Linked DNA regions of Saccharomyces cerevisiae S288C. The protein of the gene in region 2 interacts with the protein of the main gene of each other region in a biochemical or structural test. Each region holds a gene or a part of one and is shown on either strand. Other genes may lie near its edges. The genes, in order: RFA3 and RTT105.

Evidence for each region.
Region 1: the proteins of RTT105 (region 2) and RFA3 form a complex in vitro, tested with the Saccharomyces cerevisiae proteins (3 studies listed by BioGRID).

What each region holds. Positions count from the first base shown.
Region 1 is NC_001142.9:91,828-102,122, forward strand, and holds RFA3 (Rfa3p), read right to left. Parts: upstream 4,703-10,295; coding exon 4,334-4,702; downstream 1-4,333. Other genes in the region: SWI3 (Swi3p), read right to left, coding at 226-2,703; KRE9 (Kre9p), read left to right, coding at 3,265-4,095; CPS1 (Gly-Xaa carboxypeptidase), read left to right, coding at 5,910-7,640; TOH1 (Toh1p), read right to left, coding at 7,877-9,067; ASG7 (Asg7p), read right to left, coding at 9,323-9,952. UniProt on the Saccharomyces cerevisiae protein: As part of the replication protein A (RPA/RP-A), a single-stranded DNA-binding heterotrimeric complex, may play an essential role in DNA replication, recombination and repair.
Region 2 is NC_001137.3:365,142-367,928, forward strand, and holds RTT105 (Rtt105p), read left to right. Parts: upstream 1-1,660; coding exon 1,661-2,287; downstream 2,288-2,787. Other genes in the region: Hsp70 family chaperone SSA4, read left to right, coding at 1-1,376; NUP157 (Nup157p), read right to left, coding at 2,697-2,787. UniProt on the Saccharomyces cerevisiae protein: Involved in regulation of Ty1 transposition. Inhibits Ty1 transposition at a post-transcriptional and pre-integrational stage of the Ty1 retrotransposition cycle.

The DNA.
Region 1 (10,295 bases), on a different chromosome or scaffold from region 2:
AAAATAACACAATTATAGATATATATCTACATGTACATAACATGTCTAGTCGAATCTAGAGAAATGGGATAAAAATCAGAGAGAAGCCAAGTCAAGTGACGCACCATTAAAGAAATGAACCTAGAAGAAAGAAAATAAGCAAAAATATAGAGCGAAACAAAATAGAAAGTGTTACTAATGAAGAATAATTACAACAAAAACAAAAATGATCTCCATGTGTCATTGTTATGCCGACCAATACCTGTAAAATTGAGGTGCTTCAATAGAAATGGGTTTGACATCATTCTCGTTAGATATACTTTGGCCATTATGGTTTTCACCTGTTTCAATATTAGGTTTGTTAAATGGATTCTTTCCAATACTTAAAGTTTCAGGTTTCGATAGCATACTTTTGAAATGGTCTATCTGCGACCTGATTTCCTCCTTCTCCGCCACTGAACTATTATTGATATTGCTGTCGGATATTAAATTCAAGCATTTGCTTAAAACGTTTACAATCTTGCTGGAGTTTTGGTTGAAGTTCAATCTCTGAATTAGTAAGTTTTCCTGTTGTCTTTCTAGGGTTTTCCTTTCTAGCTCCATAAATTTTTCTAGTTTCTTTAAATGATTTAATTTAGCGTCCAATTTTTCCATTTGAAGTCTTATTAGCTCGTTAGTCAAAAAATTCATTTGCCTTTCCTCGTTGGTAGCGAAAATATGACTCCTATAACCCAATGATGATATGGCAATTTCTGAACCTTCTTTAATATGTTCAATTGGCTTTTGGTCAGAGATTTCCTCTTTTTGTGATTTTATTGATTCTGCGGACTGAATGGCTCTCTGGGTCATCGACTGTACAGTCTTCGGATTGACCAAACCCACCAAGAATGCTATTGTTGATAAAACGGGGTTTTCGCTCTTCGAAAATGGCAAGTGAGGAGCATATTTCAAAGGTCCTAACCCGTTGTCATTATCACCCTTGCCATTGCCGTCACCGTATAAAAATTTATCTTCAATGGGCAATTGAAGGAAACGTAAGATACACTGTTCAGGCGACTTATTGCCAACGTTTTTGGCCACTTTGTACCAGTCAGCGCCGAATTCTTGTATTCCCTTTAATAGCTTTTGCAAATCTTCTTTTGACCAATTTTCATCAATTTGTTCTAGAATTTTGACTTTTTTCAGAGGACGTGAAGTTTCGCCTTCTTCCAATAGATTGGCATCACCAGTCATGCTTGTTGACGTACTTACTTCATTGTTCATTTTACCACCATTATCATTTTTGTCACCATTTTCATCATCAGTGGTACTGGGGGGGTGAGTTATTTCATCATATTTTCTTTTGCTTTCTTTCAAATATTTATATAAAGTACTCTCCGAATCACTAGTGTTCATCATTTTTTTAAGCTTTGCCATATCCGGCAGTTGTACAGATGGTTTGTAACTTTCGAATGGGAATAGTCCTCTGGGGGCATCATGCCTTGTGGAATATTGAGACGTTAGTGGGGGTTCGATGTTCTTAGGTAATAGTTTGGAGTCAACCTGATAGTTTATTAGCCCCCATTTTGTTAAGAATTTATGCAATCTGAATAATGCAGCAGCATCACCAGAGACGTTTCTCCTCGCCGTAGTGACACTGAAATATTCGTTGGGGTTCAGCCTGTAAGAATTTACCATGAAGTTTCTGTATCTCATGTAAACTTCAGGTGTCTTTGATGGAATCCTATTGGTGAAAAATTCAGGTAACGATTGAACTTCAATGGAATGAATTTTTTCTAGATTGAACCATTTAGAATAACTTGGAATAACAATTTCATGTGCTTGCGGTATCTCAAAAGTTTCGGGTTCTACTCTGGTGATAGTGGTTTTCTTTGGATTGGCACTTTTGGAGTGATCGTTCATGATTTCACGTTCCTGTTCGTTTCTCTCTTCGCCACTATCTACCTTCTTATCTACACTTTCCGTCTTTTCTATGATATCCTCCTGTTCAGCTTTATGCGCATCTGGAATTTCAGATGGAGTATTAGCAACCGACGAAGTGTTGCCTAGTTGTTTAGACTCACTCTTTGTGTCTCCAAAAATGGAATTATCAGGACTAATCATCGGTTGATCGTCATCCTCATCATCTTCTTCCACTTCATCCATTTCCTTTGTGTTCTCATCTGGCTGACTTTCTTCTTTGACACCTTCAATAACAGTGTTATTCTCTGGTTCTTCCTCTTTTTGTATTTTGACGTCCTCCATGTTTTTAACGTCACCATTTGAATCCTGTATTGTGCTGTCTTCCTTAATAGCAGGCTTATTGTTTTCATTGTCTACCGGGTTCGTAGGTATACTAGGAGTGTTTGCCTCATTGTTCGAAACAGAACTCTCGGTTTCGCCAAAGAGATTATCACTATCCTCATTATCTTGGCCAAAGACGTTCTGGGCCCTGCTTTCTTCTGTAGAAGGTGTTTCCTGGGAATCTAGCTTATTCGCTTGCATAGTCGGCTGCTGCTTTGCCGTTACCGTTATCGCCTCACTTTCTGCATCGCGTGTGTTCGGAACAGTTGCTTCATCCTTCAGAGACTCATCTTGTTGCTGCGATTCTTCACCAGCAGTATCTGTATTGGCAACCCCTGCCACAGCTGCATTAGCGTTGCTATCACTATTGTTGTCATTGCCATGTTGGTCCACGTCCACGGAAGCGTTTACCGTGGACCCCTCACCCAGTGTATTCTCCATGCTTGCAAACCGTATCACAATTGGTCTCTGAACGCGCCTCGATGTACCAATATATCGCGCCTTGCATGGCCTTTACACATTCCTCTTGCGTATCTGATATAGTTTGTTTTCGTCTTTTCGCCAATGGCCTAAACGCCAAACGTCCGGCCTCGTTATTCGTGATGCCTACTTAATGGCTCTTAAATCGAATTTAAACTAGCTCAAAAGTAATCAATTCAAACTAAAATAACATCATTGGCCATCCTGAATTGTTGGATGCCATCTAAACTGCGTATTGACCATTATTCCATCGTAACCACGGCGGTTCAATATAATATCACTTTTGACGATTAGGTGTTTTATTTACATTTCTTTTTTTTTTTCCTCGAAAAAGATCTTCAAGGATAATACAGGAATAGAACAGGAGTCTCAAAGCATTCTTGAAGCCAGATTTGCTCCAGTTTGATAGTTCCAAGAAGCGCTAAAAGTGGCAGTTCACACTTTGTTTTGATTACTAGGAATCTACTCTTTCGCTTTTTACTTCCTTCTCAGAGAATCAGCAACTGTGACATATTATAGATAATGCGTTTACAAAGAAATTCCATCATATGTGCTTTGGTGTTTTTAGTCTCATTTGTGCTGGGAGATGTGAATATTGTTTCCCCCAGCTCCAAGGCAACATTCAGTCCAAGTGGTGGTACTGTCTCTGTTCCCGTTGAATGGATGGATAATGGGGCATATCCCTCGTTAAGCAAGATTTCAACTTTCACGTTCAGTCTTTGTACTGGTCCTAATAACAACATTGACTGTGTGGCCGTACTTGCCAGTAAAATTACTCCAAGTGAGCTAACACAAGATGATAAAGTTTACTCTTACACAGCTGAGTTTGCTTCGACCTTAACTGGGAACGGTCAATATTACATTCAAGTTTTTGCCCAGGTGGACGGTCAAGGTTACACTATCCATTATACACCAAGATTCCAGTTGACTTCCATGGGCGGTGTTACGGCTTATACATATAGTGCCACAACTGAACCTACTCCCCAGACTTCTATTCAAACAACCACTACAAACAACGCCCAAGCCACTACTATTGACAGTCGTTCATTTACTGTTCCGTACACCAAGCAGACTGGTACGTCGCGTTTCGCTCCAATGCAAATGCAGCCAAATACTAAAGTGACCGCTACCACATGGACAAGGAAATTTGCCACTAGTGCTGTGACATATTACTCTACCTTTGGGTCATTGCCAGAGCAAGCAACTACGATAACTCCTGGCTGGTCTTATACGATATCATCGGGAGTAAACTACGCTACTCCTGCATCTATGCCTTCAGATAATGGTGGTTGGTACAAACCATCCAAGAGATTGTCTTTGTCTGCAAGGAAAATCAACATGAGAAAAGTATGAAAAATAGACGGCTTCTACTATCATCATTACAGTAAGGGTTGAAGTCAGGAAAGGTTAAAAATAAAATAAATATCAAAAAGTTTTTAGCGGAAGGCGTTAAGGCAGCAAGTACACATTCATTTATCTATCTATACATCTATAAACACAACTACAATTTTTTTAGAAATGGAATTTATTATATGAAGGGAAGACATATAGAGGCAACAGTACATAAAGGTAAGAATAAAAGCGATTTTAGCTAGTATATTTCTGGGTATTTCTTACATAGTCTCTGTAAAGCAACCACACCGTTTAAGCTTAAATCTTCGTTCTCCTTGAATTTGCATAGTACAGCGTCTAGAATCAAAAATCCTAGCTCGCCGTCATCATTGTTCCTGCAAACAAACTCATACCACGAGTCGATCTCAAATGTTTTATTCATAGATACACGAATATTGTTCAACGTAATCATTTCAACCTCGCTGCCGTTTTTCGATGATATGGTTGGCGATTGTAAAATCAACTGAGATTCAGTGGGTTGTGATTTGATTTGCGCTATTATCCTAAACACAGGAGCATTGACGTTGGAGATTTCTGTGGGGTCAACTCTTGGTGTTTCGCTGGCCATTTTTACTTGTGTTACTGGTAGACGATGTTCTACAAGAATGGTGAAGGGTGTGTTATATTGCTCTTTATTTAAACACGAACGAAAAAAATATCGCGTATTGCCACATTTGGCGCGTCAATATTAAAGAACGAAGGCATTATATAGGGCGACTTGTCATGATTCCAACCATGGCATGGGCGGTGGATGCTTCTCAGCAGTGGCCCATTACGTTAGTCAACGACTGTTGGCTGTCATCTGTTCTTGTTGGGTGCTTGCAGCTGCATCGACAAACATGGATGGATGCCTCTACATATATATATATATTTATGTAATGGACCTCTGAATATTTTACTATGTAACTGACTATAGGAGATACCACTGGTGCTGTAGTACAATTTAGCACTTGCAAGCGTTGACACAGTTGTTGCGAAGGCCTCTTTCTTGTAGCACTTAATTGGAGTATGACTGCCATCATGTAGGGAAATTATGAAAGCATAGGATCAATCTTGACGTTGCAAAGAAGAAGAGACTTGCTGTTCCCTATTGATCACTTACCGTTATTGGAGTTCATATGGTACTTTTTTCATAATTTTACGAGTAATCCCTAGTGGTAGTTAATATTCAGCAAATAAAATACCAGTTTGAGACCAAAGGTAAGATAAGAGTTTACTGATAAAGACAAAGAATTGGGATGACCTAGTCCAAGGGATTATAGTACCTTCGCGAGTATTGCATATAAGCTTTTAGCGATACACAAACAAAGCGACACCGGGATTTGCATATCGCTTGTTCCTACGACGTTGTCAGTTCCATAACCTCTGATTTCCCATACGGATTTTGAAAATCAGCTACGAATAGATAGTCTTTTTCTATTTTCAGTAAATGTGTCATTGAAAAAAGTTTCTTTAGAACGACGCTTTTTGCAGGCTACTAGAAACACCCACTTCTAGTAGCTTTACGTGACGAATTGAACCGCGTGATCTTGTGCACTGTTATCCTAAATGCTCAATGCTCAGAACATCTTCTTGTTATCTCAGCCTCGCCACCCTTATCTTATCATAGCGGCCTTTTATTTTCCCCTTTGGGCAAAATACGATACAGCCTTCCAAGGTCGGGCAAGAAAGTTTATGACATATAAAAGAAACGGGTACCCCAAATACGTCTCTTCCCATTGTAAAACTAATCCTGCATCATCACATTAAGGAATCATTCATCTAACAATTACATTATGATCGCCTTACCAGTAGAGAAGGCCCCTAGAAAGTCCCTATGGCAAAGGCACAGAGCCTTTATTAGTGGAATAGTTGCCCTTATTATCATCGGCACCTTCTTCCTCACTTCGGGTCTCCACCCAGCACCACCTCATGAGGCAAAGCGTCCACACCATGGAAAAGGTCCCATGCACTCACCCAAATGTGAGAAGATTGAACCATTAAGTCCATCATTCAAACATTCCGTCGACACAATTCTTCATGACCCTGCCTTTAGAAACAGCTCCATTGAGAAACTGTCCAATGCTGTTAGAATCCCCACTGTAGTCCAAGACAAAAACCCCAACCCCGCAGATGATCCGGATTTCTATAAGCATTTTTATGAACTACACGACTATTTTGAGAAGACTTTCCCTAATATTCACAAGCATTTGAAATTGGAGAAAGTCAATGAGCTGGGTCTTCTATACACATGGGAAGGTTCTGATCCTGATCTAAAACCATTATTGTTAATGGCCCATCAAGATGTTGTACCTGTAAACAACGAAACTTTATCATCCTGGAAGTTCCCTCCATTTTCTGGTCACTATGATCCAGAAACAGATTTTGTTTGGGGGCGTGGTTCTAACGATTGTAAGAACTTGTTAATTGCCGAGTTTGAAGCTATCGAACAACTGTTGATAGATGGATTCAAGCCCAACAGAACTATTGTTATGTCGCTTGGTTTTGATGAAGAAGCAAGCGGCACCCTCGGTGCTGCCAGCTTAGCCTCATTTCTTCACGAAAGATATGGTGATGATGGTATTTACAGTATCATTGACGAGGGTGAAGGTATCATGGAAGTCGACAAGGATGTCTTTGTTGCCACTCCAATCAACGCTGAAAAAGGCTATGTCGACTTCGAAGTCAGTATTCTAGGCCATGGTGGTCATTCCTCTGTCCCACCTGATCATACCACAATCGGTATCGCTTCAGAACTGATTACTGAATTTGAAGCCAACCCATTTGACTACGAATTTGAGTTTGACAATCCAATCTATGGATTGTTGACATGTGCTGCTGAACATTCTAAATCTTTAAGTAAGGATGTGAAGAAGACAATTTTGGGCGCACCATTCTGTCCTAGAAGGAAGGACAAGCTTGTTGAGTACATTTCCAACCAATCACATTTGCGCAGCTTAATAAGAACAACACAAGCTGTTGATATCATCAATGGTGGTGTTAAAGCTAATGCTCTGCCCGAAACTACCAGATTCTTGATCAATCACAGAATTAATTTACATTCTTCTGTGGCTGAAGTCTTTGAAAGAAACATAGAATATGCGAAAAAGATTGCTGAGAAGTATGGCTATGGTTTATCTAAGAACGGTGACGATTACATTATCCCTGAAACCGAGTTAGGTCACATTGACATTACTCTCTTGAGAGAATTGGAACCAGCACCACTTTCGCCAAGTTCAGGCCCTGTTTGGGACATTTTGGCAGGTACTATTCAAGATGTTTTTGAAAACGGTGTTCTACAAAACAACGAAGAGTTCTATGTGACTACTGGTTTATTCTCTGGTAACACCGATACTAAATACTACTGGAATTTGTCCAAGAACATTTATAGGTTTGTTGGCTCTATCATTGATATTGATTTACTGAAGACATTGCATTCGGTTAATGAACACGTGGATGTCCCAGGTCATTTATCTGCCATTGCCTTTGTTTACGAGTATATCGTTAATGTTAACGAATACGCTTAAGCGCAATGATTGAATAGTCAAAGATTTTTTTTTTTTAATTTTTTTTTTTTAATTTTTTTTTTTTTTCATAGAACTTTTTATTTAAATAAATCACGTCTATATATGTATCAGTATAACGTAAAAAAAAAAACACCGTCAGTTAAACAAAACATAAATAAAAAAAAAAAGAAGTGTCAAATCAAGTGTCAAATCAAAATTTAAATGATGATGATAATATGACCATACAATGACTTAAATCAAATCAAAACCACTTGCGTAAAGGCAGTGAATATGGCCAAAATATAATACCATACACCGTTTTGCATCTTCGTTAAAGCAACACCATTCGACTTCGAGGTGGTCGAAGGCGCAGTAGCAGAAATGCTCATCAATTGAGAAGAATAGGTTTCGTTTTCTGGAATTGCAGCCAATAAATCGTTAACAGTATCAGCAGAAACAGTTCCATTGAATGGAGTGGCATCAGATATGAAAGAAACGACATTTCCACTAGAATCGAAAACAACACCACCTTTCATCGTTCCAGTAGTATTTCTTGTTATGTATCCGTAAGATTGGATACCAGTACCCAAATCCTCGATACCTTGGAAAGTGTGGAAAGTAGAATAGAGATGGTTTTTCTCCGTACCATTCATAGCTTCAAAAATATCGTATTCCCCACATCCACTAGCCCAACATGAACAGTTGGCATTGGTTGGATATTGAGAAGTCCTTGCAATGTGATCGTTTAGCAACCAAATAGCAGGCAAGTCATAGTACCCAATAGAGCTGCTATTTTTCTCAGTTTCAGTAGGCATTTCGAATTCAAACAAAAACATCTTTGTTGTACCTCCGTACCCATAGTAAGCTGGAATGCCACTACGGTAAACCCCACAACCCTTATCATAACCTGATTTTGGACATGAGACATTCGAATAGATTATGTATTCTTGATCTGAAGAAATCAAAGTGCCATCTGCCAAAACGGTAGCTTCACTGGCGCTGCCAGTACCGTTAGAACTAGCGTAGGACAAAGCATTTCCTAAACAAGGGGAAGCTTCACCTCCATGATTTAGAAAGGTAACGTTATCAGCGGTTTTGGAACTGGACTCATAGTAGGCAAGACGGTTCCAATCAGAAGAACTTCTGCTGTTGTTGACGGTAAATCCAGGGGATGTGTAAAAAGCAAATTGTTTCAACTTCAATGGTCCACGGAAATGAACGGATAAATAGTCTGCTAGTGGAGCGTTCTTACCACTAAACCATACTCTGTCACCCACTTCGCAAGTACACGATTCATTGTTGGTGATATCTTTAAACTTATTCACATCTACGTAGGAGCCTGTAAAACCAACATTAGTGAAATCCAACTTTTGGTACGACTGAGGTCCACTGGCAGCGACTGTGTGCAACATAAACATGCACACGGAAAGGACTATACTCTGTAACATTTGTCTTATTTAAGCTTGTAATGTTTGCACTTGAGTATGTTCTATTATGGCTGCTTCCTTCGATAAGGATTGTTTCTCGAGGATTTTCAGGTTTATAAATAACCTAAGCTCGGCAAAATAGACAAAAGAAAAGGGCGGAGCCAAGACTTTGAAAAAAAAAAATGGAAAAAGGAACCCTTGCAGATACAGCAAAAATGGGAAATGGAGGCTGTGGAAAAGAAAGAGGCTGATATCATTTTCTGTCTTTAGATCTACCTAACGGCTTTTCTTACATAGGAGAACTACAAATATTATGAGTATAGAATCGATGAGGAGGCCAAGCAAAGACCGTAAATTCCAGTCGCGGAAGGTCTTACGTAATAAATCGTGCGACTCCAGCACATCGTGGGCTACCTTCTTCAAAAACGCGTAACGATATTTTTTCAAGGTGTCATTCTCGTCCTCGACTTGTTCCGTGTTCACGTTTAGGAAAGACGACGGCATACCGTCTTTGCTCTCGTAATATTCTTCGCTGTTGCTATCACTGAAATTCTGCATGACGCGAATCTCTTGGAGGACTTCTTCCTTTATGGGTATCACCGTTCTTTTAGTTATGGCTTCATATTCATAAAATCCTGGGTATTCGTCTTCTTGCAAGTCGTGGAATTCCAATTCATGTGGTTGCCAATACTGTAAGAACCACCAGGCTAAAAGATTCACCAACCAGAAAACGGGGCACAAGATTCCAAAAACAAAAAACCTTGGCAGCCAAGGTTGGACAGGCACACTCATTTTACATGATTTGCATTGGCAACAGTATTTTTTCATCCAAGGGTTCTCATCGTTCTCGAAGGGCGCGGCTAGATGTTTTGTTTTATGCTCAATACTTGATGCTAAAGTAGTCATGTTTCTTGTCGTCATTCTTTGAATTTTTGTAGTCCTATGTACAAGCACAATATAAATGACAGACTAGTCAACGACGCTGACCCTTTATATGTTCCCCGTATATTCCTTGTTTTCATTGCAGTTAACATGTAAATTTCCCGATGCGGTAATTACGTTTCAAAGTCATTTCAACACTTCTATTGACAGCAAAAAAATAAAGACACTTGAAACGCACGATTTTTTCAAGAATAATATCTGTCGAGAAGATGTGTCACATTACCTATCATTACAGTGCTACTGATAGCCCACTAATGCGGATATTTAAATATATGCACCAAAAATGTATAAAGAAATAAACGGTAAA
Region 2 (2,787 bases):
AGAAATCGCAGAAGGAGCACAACGTCTTGATCTTTGATTTAGGTGGTGGTACTTTTGATGTCTCTCTGCTATCCATAGATGAAGGTGTCTTTGAGGTTAAGGCTACTGCTGGTGACACTCACTTGGGTGGTGAAGATTTCGATAGTAGGCTGGTTAACTTTCTAGCCGAGGAGTTCAAAAGAAAAAATAAAAAGGATCTAACAACTAACCAAAGGTCCCTAAGGAGGTTAAGGACCGCCGCTGAAAGGGCCAAGAGAACTCTGTCTTCGTCTGCTCAGACATCTATAGAAATAGATTCATTATTTGAGGGTATCGATTTCTATACTTCCATTACAAGGGCAAGATTTGAAGAATTATGTGCTGATTTGTTTAGATCTACATTGGAGCCAGTGGAAAAAGTTTTGGCTGATTCAAAATTAGATAAGTCACAAATTGATGAAATTGTACTTGTTGGTGGTTCAACAAGAATTCCAAAAGTACAAAAACTGGTTTCTGATTTTTTCAATGGTAAAGAACCAAACCGTTCGATTAACCCTGATGAGGCCGTCGCTTATGGTGCTGCCGTACAGGCTGCCATCTTAACGGGTGACCAGTCGTCGACGACCCAAGATTTACTGTTGCTGGATGTTGCACCATTATCTCTAGGTATTGAAACTGCAGGTGGTATTATGACAAAGTTGATCCCAAGAAATTCGACTATCCCAACAAAAAAATCGGAAGTGTTTTCCACCTACGCTGACAACCAACCTGGTGTGTTGATACAAGTTTTTGAGGGTGAAAGGACAAGGACAAAAGACAACAATCTACTGGGTAAATTTGAGTTGAGCGGTATTCCACCCGCTCCAAGAGGCGTACCACAAATTGAAGTTACATTTGATATCGATGCAAATGGTATTCTGAACGTATCTGCCGTTGAAAAAGGTACTGGTAAATCTAACAAGATTACAATTACTAACGATAAGGGAAGATTATCGAAGGAAGATATCGATAAAATGGTTGCTGAGGCAGAAAAGTTCAAGGCCGAAGATGAACAAGAAGCTCAACGTGTTCAAGCTAAGAATCAGCTAGAATCGTACGCGTTTACTTTGAAAAATTCTGTGAGCGAAAATAACTTCAAGGAGAAGGTGGGTGAAGAGGATGCCAGGAAATTGGAAGCCGCCGCCCAAGATGCTATAAATTGGTTAGATGCTTCGCAAGCGGCCTCCACCGAGGAATACAAGGAAAGGCAAAAGGAACTAGAAGGTGTTGCAAACCCCATTATGAGTAAATTTTACGGAGCTGCAGGTGGTGCCCCAGGAGCAGGCCCAGTTCCGGGTGCTGGAGCAGGCCCCACTGGAGCACCAGACAACGGCCCAACGGTTGAAGAGGTTGATTAGATAAATACAAAGATGCGATGAAGTAGCAGCATCGAATTTCTTAGTTTTCCCTCTTAACAACTTTTTATAAGTATATATATAAGATACACAATCAGTAATTAGCAAATGACTACTATTTGTACGTTCTCATCGTCATAAGCCAGAGTTTAATTAAGTGCCTCAACCGGGATGCGATTTCGCGTTCATATACAAAGCCGAAATGACAATAAGAAAGTCATCGCCAAACAACACGACTAATTGACCATTAAAAGGAACAAAATACAGTCAAAGAGTTTAGCTCGGAAATGTACAGCAATCATAATTTAAATTCGGATGACTGTTGCTTCGATTGGAATGAAGAGAAGGCCGCAGAACTACAGCGTACAGGTGTTTCTTTTGACCGGAGTTTAACACCTCAATCTTTAAGAACATCTACACGTAGACTATCAGAAGAGAACAAACAACAAAGTGGCACTATGCACATTGACACTTCCCCTTCTGTGGTTTCAGATATAATATCAAGTAGACGAGATCGTTCACAGGATTTTTTTGGGCCTCATTCTTCATCCCCTATTGCCCCTTCAGAACGACAACGAGCGGATCAGAGATCACGGTTGGAGTCCATGAGATTAACTAGACGTCGAGACAAAATGACCAAAGTACGCGGTGGCCTAGAAAAGATGGAAGAAATGATCATGCAAGGTGAACACCTTAGAGAAATGCAAAGGCTAAAGCAGGAAGCACAAAAGAACGCTCTACCCTCTGACATGGCTGAATATATGGAATGGCAAAACAACGAGGATTTGGAAGACGATGAGTTGCTTGCCTTTATTGAAAAACAGGAAACTTATAAAAATGAATTAGAACACTTTTTGAACAATGCTAATAAAAATGTTTATGAGAACAACTCGTATCCGAACTCTCATACGTGATGGCATCATTGCTATTACAGAAATAGCCCTAGCCTGTCATATTTAACTGAGCTGTTGAGTATGGGCATCTTTCCGCATGCGCTAACTACGGAGCTGGCTCTTCCCCTTCTATTAATCCTTCTGGCAGGAAGCGAAAGCGACTGATGTCGTTTCTACGTTTCTATGTATATTCTATCGCGTTTAAGTGTGTATATTTTGAGCTGCTCAAGTGAAGGGAACGTATTCAGAATAACTAGATTCTCTGCCATACGATCAACTAACTGTTTACCATATACAGTCTCAGTTCGCTACGGTTAGCGTACCGTAAAACAGCAGTTTACATTCACTATATAAAGGATGACGTAAGAATTTGCCTACGTATTAAAGAAAACTTCACAATCAAACTGCTAAAATATACAAATAATTCCGTTCATTTCAGGCCATGATGACGATCCTTCACATAATCTTGAACGGGATCGGTATTCGGATCATATTTCTCCAATTTTTTGATTTGTTCTGGC